Linked DNA regions of Mus musculus: all the other regions are reported to be linked to region 2. Evidence: microRNA targets listed by miRTarBase, many of them from high-throughput screens and not tested one by one. Region 2 holds a microRNA gene; each other region holds the end of a gene's coding sequence.
What was found. Region 2 holds the annotated microRNA mmu-miR-3076-3p (CGCACUCUGGUCUUCCCUUGCAG, at 2,914-2,936, opposite strand). A microRNA usually pairs through its seed, bases 2 to 8, with sites in the 3' UTR of a target mRNA and lowers its output. Matches are read on the target gene's strand: a 7mer-m8 pairs with bases 2 to 8, a 7mer-A1 pairs with bases 2 to 7 and ends in A, and an 8mer does both.

Region 1: miRTarBase lists Slc2a10 as a target of mmu-miR-3076-3p. Seed matches in the 3' UTR shown: 8mer at 3,568-3,575 and 7mer-m8 at 2,636-2,642.
Region 3: the mRNA of Golga2 is a reported target of mmu-miR-3076-3p. Seed matches in the 3' UTR shown: 7mer-m8 at 864-870.

Annotation. Positions count from the first base shown.
Region 1 is chr2:165,517,252-165,522,471 of GRCm38, reverse strand. It overlaps Slc2a10 (solute carrier family 2 (facilitated glucose transporter), member 10), which reads right to left. Exons shown (of 5, transcript NM_130451.3): 4 at 4,720-4,855; 5 at 2,555-4,305. The coding sequence ends at 4,230. Among named protein-coding and RNA genes, the nearest start is that of Slc2a10, 16 kb to the right of the region's middle.
Region 2 is chr14:30,569,901-30,575,120 of GRCm38, reverse strand. It overlaps Mir3076 (microRNA 3076), which reads right to left and starts at 2,972; the gene lies at 2,913-2,972. Tkt (transketolase) reads right to left here. Exons shown (of 14, transcript NM_009388.6): 9 at 5,009-5,165; 10 at 4,788-4,918; 11 at 4,075-4,158; 12 at 3,876-3,969; 13 at 2,791-2,913; 14 at 397-1,784. The coding sequence ends at 1,609.
Region 3 is chr2:32,305,899-32,311,118 of GRCm38, forward strand. Golga2 (golgi autoantigen, golgin subfamily a, 2) reads left to right here. Exons shown (of 26, transcript NM_001080968.2): 24 at 79-185; 25 at 262-418; 26 at 508-2,015. The coding sequence ends at 722. It overlaps Dnm1 (dynamin 1), which reads right to left. Exons shown (of 23, transcript NM_001301737.1): 22 at 4,553-4,589; 23 at 2,573-3,166. The coding sequence ends at 4,568. Among named protein-coding and RNA genes, the nearest start is that of Gm23363, 9.8 kb to the right of the region's middle.

The DNA.
Region 1 (5,220 bases), not on the chromosome of region 2:
ACTCAATATGTTTCTTAGACCCCCTAGAAACGAAGCCCAGCATGGAATTCTTTGTTCTTTCACCTTCAGCCTGAGAGAACAATGACCACTAGGTGACCCACCCAAGCTCCTGACCCATAGTGTAAAAGGACCAAGAATGTTTGCCAAAGATAGCCTGTAACCTTTCTGTGAGAGATGAGCTGTAATTCACCATCCTCATTCTTACGATGTTTACTCAGCTTCCCCATTCTTTGTGGCCTTATCCTCCCCTCACTTTGTGGTTTATTCTTTAAAAACCCTCGACTGCAACTGCTGGGGGTCGATCTCTTCTCTCCCTGTGTGAGTTACGAGCTCGGCCTCAGCATGCTGATTCCTGAATAAACCTCATGCAATAGTTATTGGGGCATCGGCTCATCCCAGGACTTGAGCGAGAGTCTCCCCAGAAACGGGGGTCTTTCAGAAGCAGTTAGCTCTGGGTCAGCCAACAGTCCCAGTAGAATGCCACCCCAAAGTGTGACCAACCCAAGCAGGTGTCAGACCATGGACTGCCTGGGAGGGACCTACAGGCAAATCTGAGAGTGGATAGCCAGGGGAGAAGCAACCCCTAAGTCTTAGGAAGTATATTTGCTTCTTTCTGACTCTGCTCTTTCAATGTGTAGAACTCAGAGCTCTGTGAACAACCAAGGAACATCACAGTGACCAGGACTGGTCATTCTCGTGGGACCACGCTGCCCAGTGTGGGAGAGCTTCAAGTACTGCTTGGAGCCTAAGATGCTAGAAAAGGCAGTACAGAGTCAATGTGTTTAACCATCAAGGGTTACAGTTTTTATTTAATCTCAGATCAGGGGTTTCTACCCCACCTCTTATCCTTCAGTTCCCAGATAAAAGACACTCGACCTTTGTATTTATAATAAGCCTTAATCAGCAGTAGAACTGGGCAGATATCAATCCTCCAAGCTATTAAAATCTACTTCGCTATCAATAACCCCAAATTATAATTTGCCATGTTCCATCTGGGCAGCTCTGAACTCCAATTGGCCAGCTCTCACAGCCATGTTTGCATGATCCAGCTAACCATGGGATCTTCTCTTCCCACAGTCTCTTTCCATCTCTTTCATGGTCTCCTCAGAGTCCAAGCCATAGAACCCAAACTCTGCCTGCTATTGGCTGTGGGCATCTTTATTCACCAATCAGGGATAACTTGGGGGGCGGGGCAAGGTCACATAGCATCCCTTGTGTGCGTGCAGATTCTCTCATCCCTGGGGGCGACCAGGTGTCTTGGGAGACAGTTTTTAGTATTACAATACATCGCAAAAGACCAAACCTCAACAACCGAGGACGTTGGAGCAACTTGTTCTGTGCCCAGCTCCATCTCAGCAGATGGCAATGAAGTGCGGTACCCAGCACCGTTGCCCAGTTCTCACCCTCTCCAGACGTTGGCATCTGATTGACAGATGGAGCCAGAGAAAGTTTTTTGGATCCTATCTCGGTAACGACCAGCCCAGTCAAACTCAGAGGTTTAGGGTGGCACATGGCCCATAAGTCTGGAAGAACTTAGCAACGTCATGGAGGTGAATGTAAAGGAGATGCACAAGTGGAGAAAGCTGAGAAGCACAGAGGCGGGGCGAGGAAGAAAATGAGAAAATGAAAACATTGTTGCTTCCACTGGCAAACTCAGTCCTTGCCAGGAAAGCTGGAATGTTGACTTGGCGCTCCTGCAACTCAAGTTTCTACACATGCAGAAGAAACATCCAAATGGTGTGAGAAATTGCTGCTTCTGCTCTTGACCTTGGTCAGGGTCAGTGTTTCTGAACTCAGCCTCTTGGGACACAGGGCATTAGTGGGGAGCACCACTAATCCAAGCACTCGCGCGGCGGGAGGCAGAGGCAGATGGATCTCTGTGAGTTTAAAGCCAGATTGGTCTATATAGTCAGTTCTAGGACAGTCTGGGCTACACGGACACTTCTGCTTATCTTTGTGGTTTTGGTTTTTTTTTTTTTTTATGTTTTTTGTTTTGGTCTCACTATGTCTTTCTGACTGTTCTGAGACTCACTGTGTAGACAGACCTGACCTAGAACTCGCAGAGATCCATCTTCCCCGGCTTCCCAAGTGTTGAGATTAAATGTGTGCACTGTCACGCCAGCTCTCCGGCCTTCATTTTTAACTGGTTTGATTTATCATCACAAAGGAAAGTGTGAGTAGACGCCAAATATTCTCTGTAACATACAAGGCAAGGGCAGTTCTTAACCTATTCATTTTAGAGTATTTCCCAAAAGTGTAAAAAAAAGAAAAATTGGGGGACTGGAGAGGATCTGGTTATTTGTGTGTTGTCTGTCATCTTATCCCTACTATTCTGTATCTATCAATCAATGGTTTTTCTCCCCTCCATTCAGTTTTCTGTCCTTCTTTCCCCTTTTCATCTCCTTATCTTTCTCATGGACCAGCCACCCAACCAGAATGTCAGAATAAGCACAGGAACCTTGTCTAGGCCACACTCTGCCCTGGGGTCTAGAGTGACCCTTGACACTTAGTAGACAACACACGTGCATTTGTGCGGAAATATAAATCACCATATGCGTTTGTGCTCAAAATAATTTATTTCAAAATACACTTTTAAATTACACGTCTTTGTGTGAGAAAACGTTCCACCTGAAGAGCACTCTGTAAGCACACACACACACACACACACACACACACACACACACACACACAGAGGGCATCCCAGCAGCGTGGAGGAGGGAGAAGGGCAGCAGAGATGTTAGGAGGCAGTGATAAGGTTTGGTTTTTTTGTATTCGTCTATTGATTTGGTTGGATAAGATTTCAGTTTGAAGCCAGACTGGCCTAGAACACTCAATCCTTTAGCCTCCTGAGTGCTGGGATTACAGGCATGCACCAGCACATAGGCGGTGATGAGGTTTGAGTATTGACTATTATAATTACACTGATTGTTTATTATCCATGAAAACACTTTCTAGATGATGCCAGTGCTTAGCAACCAGTCTGTAGAAGTCCCAACTGCGTGGCAGTCAGCTCTGGGGAGCCAGCACAAGCTTAATCCAGCACACCACTGGTTATGAATGACGTATCTAGAAACAGAGAGCATGGTCACCAGGCCAGGCTTGGGAACCAGGAGGGTATGACAGCTGACAGTGCTGGTGAGGCCAGCTACCCAGTGTCTAGGAACTAACTCTGTTTTATTGATGTCCTCCTTATGTGACCTCTGACCTGAGGCTCTTGCTTGTCTCCAGTTGACTGACCTTTACAACGCCCCCAAAGAAGAGCTCTATGTAACACGGTGAGCAGAAGCCCCCAGGGCTCACGGAAGACTCTCCTGAGAGAGATGGCGTACGTCAATATATCCTGAGGCACACAACTGTGCCCATTCTGCAGATGAATAAACCAGGGCTTTAGGAAGTCAGTAGCAACTGAAGTAGAAGCCACAATCACCAACACACGGATGAGTCCCTCTAATCCCTTCCTTCATTCAAAGCCTTCTGCCGAACCCTGGAAACTATTGGGGTCCTAGCACTTGTCACACGTTGGAGTCCTGCTCTTACATTCCAGAATGCTAGACTCTGGAACAGAGGTGCACTCTCTGCTAACTAACAAAGCTTCTGTCCCCAGAGCCACTCGACAGGGCCCCTTCATTGAGTGCTTATTATATCCCTGCTCTGAGACTTCGGTCCTTGTGGAGTGAGAAGGGATCTTAGGAGTAGCCTAGTCCAGTTTCTGTGAGACACATGGGGAAACTGAGGCCAGGGTCATAAGACCATCTCCGTTACAGCCTGCTGTCCCCAGTCAGAGTCCCAGCACCTGATAAACATCTTGGGCAAGTGGGAGGGGCTGATGAATACAGGCTCTGGATCACTAAGACCCCAGCAAGGGGACGAGGAAGGCGGAGACTCACAGCCTCTGCTGGTTGGGGATGGTGGTAAGAGACACTTCCTTCCCAGGTCCTCTGAGAAGCACTTGATGAACGCCACAGAGGATGTCATTATAAACATGGCAGACAAGTCAACTCCCTGGGGAAACTGAGGCATGGAGCTAAATCTTCCAGAGAGCCCTCAGAGTCTCACACTCAAAATGAAGAGTTTGGCAGTTATCTCTCACACCGGCAAGAGGCAGCCTCTGGGAGCAGAGGTCACTACAGAAGGAAATCTGTATCAGGAGTTTCAGACCCCAGCAGGCAGGGAGCAGGAGATGGGCTGCAGGAACCAATGTCCCAGCATCTTCCAAGCAGACGGATGCCTCAGGAGGCTGAGGAGACATCCAGGCGATGGTACTGAATACCGATGCGCTGCCTATGGCCAAAGTTTAGAGGGAACCTGCAAATGAAACCACACAATCAGAGAACAGCAGGCCTGAAGCCTCCCTGGGCAGGAGGCAGTGGGCATCACTGCCCCCACCTGATATGGTGGGGCTGTGCCTCAAAAAGAAAAACCAGGGCTGGGACGGAGCTCAGGGTCGAATGCTTACATGTGTTACACACAGTTACACGGGAAGAGGCCCAGGTATGCATGTTCCCTTCAGTGCACACACAAACCTGGGAGCTGAGCCTTAACGTCCATGCAAAGCCACCGTCTAATGATACAAGATAGCTGAAGGAAAGTGGCTGGGCAAAATGGCAGGGAGGCAGGAGATGCAAGCATGTAGCAAAAGAAAGCAGGAGACTGAGGTCCTAAAGAGCCCCACCCCTCTTGATGCACTGTCCCAGCCCCCACACCTCACCCACCACCTACCTGCTTGTCTGAAACTGCTGCTCTATTTCAGCTAAAGACTGTCCTTTGGTTTCAGGAACAAGTAGGTAGATGAAAGCCAGGCCAAGGACAGCGGTCAGCCCATAGAGCAGGAAGGTCCAAGCCAAGCCGATGGCACCTTGGGACACAATGTTGGGAGTGTGGGTCAGGAGCTGAGTAACCTGGTCTTGAGGCCCAGGCCACCCCAAGCAGCTCCTGGGTGTAGAGCCAGCAGTTCACCCATGCAAGGGCCAGGGATGGCCAGTTTGCAGAGGGCTAACAAGCCCTCAGGTAAAGACCTGAAAGCCAGAATGTAAGTGGCTGTCCCTGAGCCCGGGGCCACCAACACAATGAGGACAACTTGTATGGAGGGAAAGGTTCCTACGAGTCAGAACCTCCAAGTGGAGGTACGTCTAACTGCAGGGACCATGGGAGGCAGCTCCTGGGCTTCTGCTGGAGACGGCCACAAACGGTCACTTGGAAAATGGAACTACAGTTGGTCTA
Region 2 (5,220 bases):
AGTTTTGCTGACACAAAGGGCACTAAGCTGCAGGCACCTTCCATCGTCCTACAGGACAAGGACTTTTACATATGGTTGACTACATAGCATCCCCTTTAAGGAGGCCACAAGGACAAAAATGGTAGCCACAAAAACCCGAGGTGCAGTCCTTTACTCTGCATACTGGGCTGTAGTTAAGCCAACTTAAGCTCATCTCCGTGTAGGTTATAAATGAATGGTTATTTTATTTGACCATTACTGGGGGGTAACCCCTAATCTACTTTCCTAACTGCTGGCCTGGCTACCTCCCCAGCCGTGTGCCCCAGACACTTGCCAGTTTCTCTTGGCCATGTGCTCAAGGTCCATTCCCCCCACCACCTCAACTCCCAATCCCACCTACCTCTAATCCTCCAGTAATTGACTGTAGCCATTTTATTTAAACAATAGTTTTAAATTAAGGAAGAAGGTTTGCACAATAAAAGCCTGTAGACTTTTGGGTACAGAATTTAGCATTGCAATACATAGACCAATCCTTAGCACTCAGCCAAGTGGAATGCCTTCTAAAGTGGTTTCTTGTAGTAAGGATTAAGTAAAATGCATACAAAGTTCAGTAATGTCACTGTCACCTCCACCTGCTGTGAGCTTTACAGAGTTCAGAAAACACCATCCCTAGTCTCCTTCCTCAGATTCCTCTGTAGGGGTGTGCTTAGCACTGTAGTACCATAAATGGCCACCAGGTGGTGACCAAGCACCCAAGCTTTACTGTTTTTGTTCAGAACTACATAACATATTGTAGTTATGTCCAGACTCAAAACTCGTGGCTGAGAAGTTCCTCAATTGTCCTGACAGGGAGATGGCTTGCCTTCTTTTCTCAGTGAAGGAGAGTTCCTGACATGCGGAGCTCAAGGCCTCCCAGGGTGTGCCCTAAGATCACCCACTGAGGAGTCTCTGTCATCTCCCTGAGACAACCTACCTGCTCTGCTGTTTCTGGAGTTGGTACCATACAGTTCCCTGGCATGGAAGGATCGGGCCAGGCAACTCGCTAGCTGAGCAGTTTGTCGACAAAGGGCAAACATGCACATAGCTCAACAAATGGGCCCCATCCTCCCTAAGGGCACTGCGGAATTCCTAGGAAACAGCAGTGACCACCCATAAAAGGAGGAGTTGTGGGACCTTGGGGGCCATGGTGCAGCTATGGAGGGCCCAGGAAGGTTTTATAAGGCAGGAGGGAACTCCATGGTGTCATTTAGGGTACACTGGCAAAGGAAGGGGCTGGATCCTAGTTTGGCTAAAAGGCAGGCTGCAATGAGTGTCCCCAGTTATGACTTGGTGGGAGCAGTTGTGGCTTTGCAGAGGCTGAACTGGAGAAGGGGATTCCAGGGGACACCTAGATCCAGGGGACACCTAGATCCTGACCCCAAGCCTAGAGAGCCAGCTCTCTCCCTCTCTCCCCAGTCTCCTTCTCATACTGGCACTGGATATGTTTATATCACAGGAAAAAAAAAAGAGTCTGAGGATTAATTTTTTTCTCAAAACATATATTTACCTCCCCACTCAGTACACCTTCGCCACCTCTGCCAGAACCTCCCTGGAATGTGTAGTTCACCCACCCAGCATCCCATGCCCTCCCTAGCCCTTGGTGACAAGGCCTTTCACAGCTTGCACAATGGCGTCCTTGTCAATACCGAACATCTTCAGTAGCTCAGCTGGCTTGCCACTTCGTGGTACTTGGCTGACAGCCAGGCGAGTGACCGTCACTCCAGGTTCACCCACTACGGCAGCAGACACTGCCTCTCCTATGCCACCTGTGCAGAGGAAAGTCAGAGAGGTCTTAGTCCTGAGCCAGAGATGACAAAGACACAGCCCTTGCCGGAGCAGACATCACTAATCCACCAGGGTTCCCATGATTTATTCTAAGTCCAGATGTGCACTTTCTTTTTGTCACTTTTTCTTTGCCACTTGCCTGATTTTACACAGTGCTGGGGATTGAACCTAGGGCTTCATGCACACAAGGCAAGGACTCTACCATCAGAGCCCTACATCTATTTGTTTGTAGCTTTGACTGGCCTAGAACTCCCTATGTAGCTCAAGGTGGTCTTGAATTCAGAGATTCACCTGTCTTCACCTTCTGAGTCCTGGGATTTAGCCTCAACATTTAGCTTTATGTAATTAAAAAAAAATTGTTTTTAAACGTGTACCGAGTGTTTTTCCTGCATGTCTGTGAGCCACATGCTTGCTCCACGCCCTCAGAGGCCAGGAGAGGACACTGGGGACCTATAGATGCTTTCGAAGGCTATGTGACTGCCGGGTCTTCCCTGCTCCTTGAGTTAATACTTTAAACACTTCTTTATCTAGTATGTGTGTGCACACATATGGTACAGCTGGGGGTCAGCTTGACTCCCACAAGTTGTGCATTTGACCTTAGAGTCTCAGCTCGTCTCTCCTCAGAGGCTCCTGTAAGAACAGGCATGCACTTATAGAGGACTCAAGAAGACACTCGGTACTGTCTTTCCTGTTTGTTCCTGTCCAGCCATCTTACCTCCTTGATACGAGGCCCAGGAGTTCAGCTGTGGCCAGAAAACCCAGAGCCTTCATCAGTATAGCTGAGACCTGGCCTCTTCTGAGGCTTTAGGCTTTGGTATAGGGATCCAGCTAACCCATTTGCCGGCTGGCTCTACTCCCCGAGCCCCTGCCAGGCCGTGAGTGGCAAAGGCGGACTGTCCTCAGAGGAACTTAAAGTGGTGTCTACCTCTTGCCTCCCCTACTGCTCTCTCTGGCCTTCCCTCGCCAGGCTGGTGCAGCCCCAGTTACCTTCGTAGTAGTGGTCCTCCACGGTGAGGATCCTGCCTTTGGTTGCTCGGGCAGAGTCTAGGATGAGTTTCCTGTCCAGGGGCTTGATAGTGAAGGGATCCAGCACCCGGATGCTGATCTTATCTGCAAGGGAAGACCAGAGTGCGGCTAAGAGAAAGGCTGGCACTGAGCTTCCCCTGTGTTAGAACAGAACTCCAATGGCCCCTTATCCCGAATGGGGCGTCTTGGGCCTAAGAAGAACTACTCTTTGGTGGCTAGCTGTCTGTCCACTTACTCTCACCATTGAGAATAGCTCTTCTCCCTATTCTCTCCTGTTTGGGAGAGATAGTGGTCAGCTGGGTGCCCTGTGGACCGACTGTTAGAGCAGACTATGGGGCTCTTATCCTCCTATGCCTTTGAAGATAAAAGGAAGACTTCAGATATCTGATCTAACATAAAGGTTTTTGGGATAGTGGGGAGAAGAGCTGTAGCCAGAGTGACTTTCTCAGAATAAAAGCCACCTCACCACACCCAGCTGCCTAGACACCCTGTCTGGGTGGAGCTTTCTTGACCTCTCAGGCCCAGCTTGCTACAGCCTCAGTCCTGTTCACCCCCACATTGCACAGGCCACTCAGGTCACCCAACCAAGGGACCACCTTTTGCTTCCTGGTGCTCACAAGCTTGAGATGTGACGTGTCTGGCGATCTCACTGAGAGGACGAGGCTGACGCTCTGTCCCTACGGTATCACTAGCTAACAACATTATACTTATAGTAATAATAACAGTATGAATGCCAAGGCACACCTAAGGCCTTGGGACAGTCATAAAGGCTAAGTGCCAGTTTACACGTGGGGAATCGGAGACACAAAGACGGTGAATAAGTCATTTAACTAGTGACCGGCTGAGCTGTGACTTCAGTTTTCCTGGCAGGCTCCATGGCCTCCGATCTGATACAAAGGGATCATAGGTGAGGATAGTCACCAGTCCTAGAACATAGCATGGACATGGCGTAATGGCTCAAAGGGTGGCTTCAGTTATTGTCATCATGACTTAACTAGAGATTCTGTGTGACCAGCCTGTGACCTCCCTGGTCCCTTTCTTCTTACCTTTCTTTAGACTCTCTGCAGCAGCCAAGGCCTCATGCAGAGTTACACCAGCCCCGATCACTGTCACTTGGTCATCCTTGCTCTTCAGGACCACCTGCGGGTGACATGGGGACAGTGAGGGGCCAGAGCAGGGTCTGAGAGTAGAAGCAGCAGCAGGGTGGGTGGCTCCCTCGGGTTCTCATACACGAAGGGCACTGACCTTGGCTTGGCCGACCTGGAAATCCTCATTGTTGCTATAAATAATGGCATTCTCTGGGCGGCTGGTCCGGATGAAGCAAATGCCCTGGGATTGGAACAGATAAACTGAGAAACACGACAGCTTGGTCTTCTAGAGGGCCACCCTTCCTAGATACAAGCCTCATTTAGTCAGTCAATTATAACCTGGGCACAGTCATTGTGTCCTGGCGCTATGGCAAAGAGATGGGGCTGGTTCCCTGTAGCTGGTACCTCTGAACACAGGAGAAGAAGCACCCACAGCCTGGCTAATCTCAGACTGGAAGCAACTTCTAAAAGGTAAACTGGCTTGGCTTCTCAGTGGGGCTACTCCCCAGAATGCCTCGGTAAGGCTGGCCCCGGCTCTCGGGTGGGACACGGGAAACTCTGTATGCCAGTCTGAGGCAAGTCAGTTATTGTCCTGGACCAGAGACTCGGGTTACTGTCCTTCAACCCAAGGAAGGCAAACACCAGTGGTCAAGCTGGCAGAGTGCCCATCAGCTGGCAGTGTCTGCCATGATGCATGACGAATGGTATGCTTTGATTTTCTCAGTCTTGTTTCTTTAAGGTATACACACACGAGGGACATGGCCAGGAAATGCCTCCCTAGGCAGCAAGTGACCAGCTCTACCTTGCGCTGGCCTCCTCTTCTGCCTCTGTGGAAGAGCTAGCTTCCAAAAGAACAGCCACACGACTAACCTTTGTGTTGGCTGCTAACTCCACTGCCTTCTCTGTTGCAACTCCATCGCTTGGGTAAAAGACGGTGGACATGGGGACTGACCGGAACATGGCCAGGTCTTCGAGGGCCATCTGAGAGGGCCCGTCTTCCCCTGGAGTATTGAAAAGAGGCTGATGATTGGCTCCAGCTTCCAGCGTGCCCTCCCACACGCACTGGTGCTTAGCAACAGGTCTGAACTCACCAATGGACACACCACAGTGGGAGCCACAGAGGTTGATGTTGCTCTCAGAGATGGCGGCCATGCGAATCTGGTCGAAGGCCCGTGTGAAGAAGGCCGCGAAAGTACTGCAGAAGGGCACTGTCCGGTCACGTGTGGCACAGCCCACGGCAATGCTCACCTGAGGGCAGGAGGGCCAGATTAGCCCTGAAGAACAGGGAGCCCAGAACCCTCCC
Region 3 (5,220 bases), not on the chromosome of region 2:
CAGTGGGGGCTGTGCAGGGGGGTAGACTGGGGGAGCCACAGTGTCTGAGCCTTGTCCACCTGCCTGCCGTCTCCACAGGAGAGTACATTGCCCTTTACCAAAATCAGAGGGCGGTGCTGAAGGCTCGGCATTTGGAGAAGGAAGAATACATCAGCCGGCTGGCTCAGGACAAGGAGGAGATGAAGGTAGGCCTACACTTCTGTAGTCCAGGCCCTGCCTAATCTGGGCTGGGCCCTTCAAGTTGAGCTCCTTTTTCTCCAGGTGAAGCTGCTGGAGCTCCAGGAGCTGGTGTTGAGGCTTGTGAACGAGCGCAATGAATGGCAGGGCAAGTTCCTGGCCGTCTCTCAGAACCCTGGTGACGTGCTCACCCCAGTGCCCACAGGCTCCCAGGAATTTGGTGCTGCTGACCAGCAGGATGGTGAGTAGAGCTGTTGTCTCTTGGGAAGGCACAAAGGGGAGGAGTCCCATGGCGTGCAGAGCCATGACCCCCTCCCCCTTTCTCTAAAGACCTCAGGGAGGTGAGCCTGGCTGACGATATAGAGCCTGCACAAGGAGAGGCAGGGGTACCTGCTCCCCATGAGAACCCTACTGCACAGCAGATCATGCAGCTGCTGCGTGAGATCCAGAACCCCCGGGAGCGGCCAGGCCTGGGTAGCAACCCTTGCATCCCCTTTTTCTACCGTGCCGATGAGAACGACGAGGTGAAGATCATGGTTGTATAAAAGACTGGCGGCCAAAGCCTCAGCAAGGGCAGCCAGAGGTTCTGCCCCAACCCACACCCTTCCTCAGCCACCCTTATCTTTATAATAATAATAAGGTCAGACTCCATCCCCTCCAGGGGCTGGGGAAGTAGCTCAGTTGGTAGAGTGCTTGCCTGCTGTGCACACAGCCTTGGGTCCCCAGTACCTCTGAAAAGGCTGATACCTGTAATTTGAGTGCTTGGGAAGTGGAGGTGGAAGAATCAGCCATCCTCATCTACCTAGTGAGTTTGAGGCCACACTGGGCTACATGCGACCCTGTCTGAAAAAACCAAAAGATCAGGCTCCTATCTTAATGGGGGACACAGACTGGTACAGATCTGCCTCTTAGCCAGGGCAGTTTTACTTTGTAAATTCCTGTTACAGAAAGAACGCCAGAGACTCAGTGATGGAGCAGACTGTGCTGGGTGGCCTGGGGGCTTTCTCACCAAGGAGGGCCTCAGGCCTTACTCAGGACTCTGGGGCAGAACAGAGTGGCAGCATTCTCGTGCCCAGGTGCAGTGCAGGCTGGTAAACTGGCCTAGCATTCAGCAGGGCTTCTAAGTTTTCACCGGCTCAGTCCTCCCTATCCTCCTTTTCCTCCCCGCCCCCATTTTATCTTCATTTTCTTTACGGAGTGTCTCCTGTAGCCCGAGCTGAGCCCCTGCCTCACCGCTGTGCCTGGTGGTTGGCAGTGCTAAGCAGGCACTCTACCAAGTGATTTACCCCCAGCACTCCCTGCCTTTTTCCTTTGTGTGGTGATGCTGGGGATGGAACCCAGGGCACAGCAGGTCCCCAGATCAACTCCCATCTTCTCAGAGGCACTTTAGGGCAGTGGGGCTGGGCAGCACTTCATGGGTCCTCAGGCAGTTGGGGCTAACTGCCTCAGGAAGGCATCCCACTTTGGAGGGCTTCCATCTTTTTGAGGCACTTTGGGACAGGGAAAGTGGGTACCATTCTCTCAGGCCTTATGACAATTGGGGTAACTACGCCAAGCAGGACAGAGGCTGCTGGGGCAGGGTGGCCTTCCCCTCCCCCGGTGTACATATTGTACCTGTGTACTATTTTGTATATACCGGGGTAGGGACACCCCTGTATCATAGTGGAGGTTGGAGCTGGCAAATGGGAAGAGCTTCTAATAATCACTTTGGGCTGGGAACCTTATTTATTGGTAGTGTTAGGTCAGAGGGCAGGAGGCGGAGACAAGGTTGTGGCACCTGCTGATGCAGCTCCTCTTTATTTTGCTTTTTACTTGGGAAATAAATGGATTTAGCCATACTGCTGGGCCTAGGGTGTTCGTCATTGGTTCTGGGGTTAGCCTCAGGCTGGCACTGAGCAGGGAATGTGTCCTGCCTGGAGAGAGCAGGCTTCTGGCCTGTATGGAGCCCAAGGTCTGAAGTGCCTGGCAGGGCTGATTGACACCTATCACCTATACACTGCCTATTGAAGCCTAGGGACCCCAGGGGGAGTACCATGGGGCTACAGGGACAGAGCTTCCTTACTGAGTAAGAGAGTCAAGCCTGACATATAGTATACATAGGTGGGACTCGGGGTGCAGCAACTAAGGGCGCTGACTTCCAGGCCAGGCCTCTTACATTCCGACCCTTCCCCTTAGTCTGTCCACACTAGAGACCTGTTTTGTTCTTTAGGCTGTTCACAGCATCCTGGCTGAGCTCATGATACTGCCCCCTAGTGGTGTAAGCAGGATTCGTAGGATGAGGACCTGCTAAACTCACAAGCACCCTAGCAAGGGCCTTTCCTCACCCTCCATTCAGTGCCCAGTTTACACCGTCCTCTCAGCCCCAGAGAATACAAACCAGCAGAGGTACACGCAATTCCCCATGATCCAGAAATGGGTTTTATTCTCAGCCAAGAGACAGCAAGACTGGTGGCTACCAGAGAACTGCACAGCTGCTGCTGCTGCAGCATCCCCTTGCTGCAGGGTTGGGATGGCCAAGGGGATGGCTGTTCACAGGCCAGGAGGACAGGGGGGCTCACTGGAGGTGGTACACTGGAGGGGGGGTTGTCAGGATGACAGCGTTCCCTTGTTGGACCACAAGACTCCACAAGGACAGCATGGTGGTTGATTCTGACACTACAGGCGAGGCTGTGTCAGCCATATATATGTATATATATGTATATATAGGTATATTTATAGATATTTATAGAATGTCGCAGGAGCAATACCACAGAGGGGCACAAGTTTTCACCAACATCACATCTGGATGTGTCAGCTCACCACTACAACAGACTAAGTCACAGATGATGAATAGGACGCTTTGGGGCCGGGGGAGCCACTGTCAAGTCACAGAACAGCTGTCCAGGCAGGCTTGGTAAGGGAGGTCTCCGAGGAGTAGGAGGGATCTGGTTAGAGGTCGAAGGGGGGCCTGGGGCTCTCAGGACGGGACGGACTTGCCTGACCCGATCGGCTGGCAGTTGGAGAGAAAGCCGAGAGAGAACGGAAGAGAGAAAAGGAAGGAGAGCTGGTAAGGCAAGAGCAGCCACCTCCAGCAGAGGCAGGGGCTGAGGCAGGTGTGGATGTGGGCAGGGTTCCCGGAAGAGATGCACAGTTGATGAATGAAAGGGAAGATGGGGTGCTGGGCCGTAACTAGCAGGTAGTCTGAGTAGAGGCTGGTGGCCCTCTCTTGCCACACACACGGCCTCTCACACACCACCCAGGCAATGCACCACAGGGCCTCCCTCATTTTTGCTCACTGTCTCTCATCTCACTGGCTCAGGGCCACCCCAAGCCTCAGGGAGTCCCATGTAACAGCCATGAGGCCAGAAGTGCTTGAACCAGGAGATTGAAGCTAAAGGGGATGGCTGGAGGGAGCGCTGGAGGCCCCTCAGGTGGTCAGAAAGTCAGGAGTCCTCTGAGGGGACCCTGGGGAGGCTGGGAGGCAGGCAGCCGATGCCTGCGGCCACAGACTTATAAGTCTAAGAGGGGAGCCTCCGTTGGTCGGGGGGCTGCAGGTCTCGTAGGTGAGGCTGGGCCCTTCCTGCTGGGGAAAAGCAGAAGGGTGAGCGTCAATGGCTGGGGAAGAGTTGGGACAGGGTAACCGAGATCTGTGGCCAGCCAGGCAGAACTCAAGTTGACTTTCCCAGTCAGTAGACAATGCATTGCCTTCGGCTAAAAGGCACAGGTCACTCTGAAAACAGGTCAAATGTTGGAGCTGATGGGCTGGCTCTATGTCGGGGGCTGACGAGGTGGCTGTTAGCTACAGGTGTGCAATGTCAAGGATGAATGAGATCCTCACCTTGCCTGCGAGCCCTCAGGCGCTGGCAGAAAGGCAAAGGCTCTTAAGTTGTCTAAAGTCACCAGTCAGAGCCTGGCTTTGCCAGCGCGATTCTCATGCTTGCCCTGTGGTGAATTTAGTCGCCATGCTCCTAGGCTGGAAGGAGAAAGCTCTTATCTTGGCAGCATAGTTCAGAGTAGGTATGAAGAGGGGGTCCTAACGCTTCTGGCCCCTTCAGAGGCTGAAGACACCCTCTCCTAGTTCTTAGTCCCTACACTGTCAACAGTGGTCTGGTGTCTCCAGGGAGCACCCACATCTACCGTCTTGGACATGAAACCTGTTCCAAGAGCCCTCAGTTTAAGCAAGAAGGCCTTGAGTAGTGGCGCTGAGTCCCGAGGCTCACTGGAAAGGGAAGTGAGAGAGCCAGCTGGAAGAGGACAGGAAGAGGGAGTCCAGAGCTGCAGGAGAAGGAGGAGGGGCCTGGCTCAGGGGTCCCAGGTGTCCTCAGCATGGAGCTGGTGCAGCGAGGAGGGAGGGGTAGACACACTGTTCATGCAGCAGGCTGAGAGCATAACCTACCGTAGCTGACACTCCTCAGGGGTCACTGATAGTGATTCTGAAAGACAGCACGAAATCAACAGGGCAGTTCACAAACACACAGGTGGGCCAGGCTGGGGGTTAGGGGACACACACACGCACACGCCTGGGCGTGCACACACATGCTGTGAGGCCTTAAGGCCCTGCGTGCACACGTTAACACACATGCCCACAAACACGCATATATCTCCCTCCCACCTCCCAGTGCCCAGCACCATTGCCGGCCAATACGTCGTGCAGCACGGATCTGGGACATGCAGCCACTCAGCACACAGAAGCACACGCATGAGCTGTCACAACACAGAAGCTCGCCTGCACAGAGAAGGCCTTTGCACCAGCTCCCTGCACATCCAGGCCTGGTGTGCTGACAGGGTTACCATAGGGCTCCGTAAAGGACAGGGCTTGCACTTTAGGATCCAGCTGTCATTTCTTTGCTCAAGAACCTTCCATGGCTCCCTATATCATTGAGTCTCTACAAATCTCCAACCTACCCCACCCTACCATTGACCATTAGTAAAGCAGCCCACTGTCTCTGTCAATCTCACACTCCCCTGGGGAAATGTCAGGGGACACACATGTATTTAGAAGGAAACTAAAGCCCTGAGAGGGAAAATGACTTGCCTAAGGGAAGTGAACCAGCATTTCTGGAC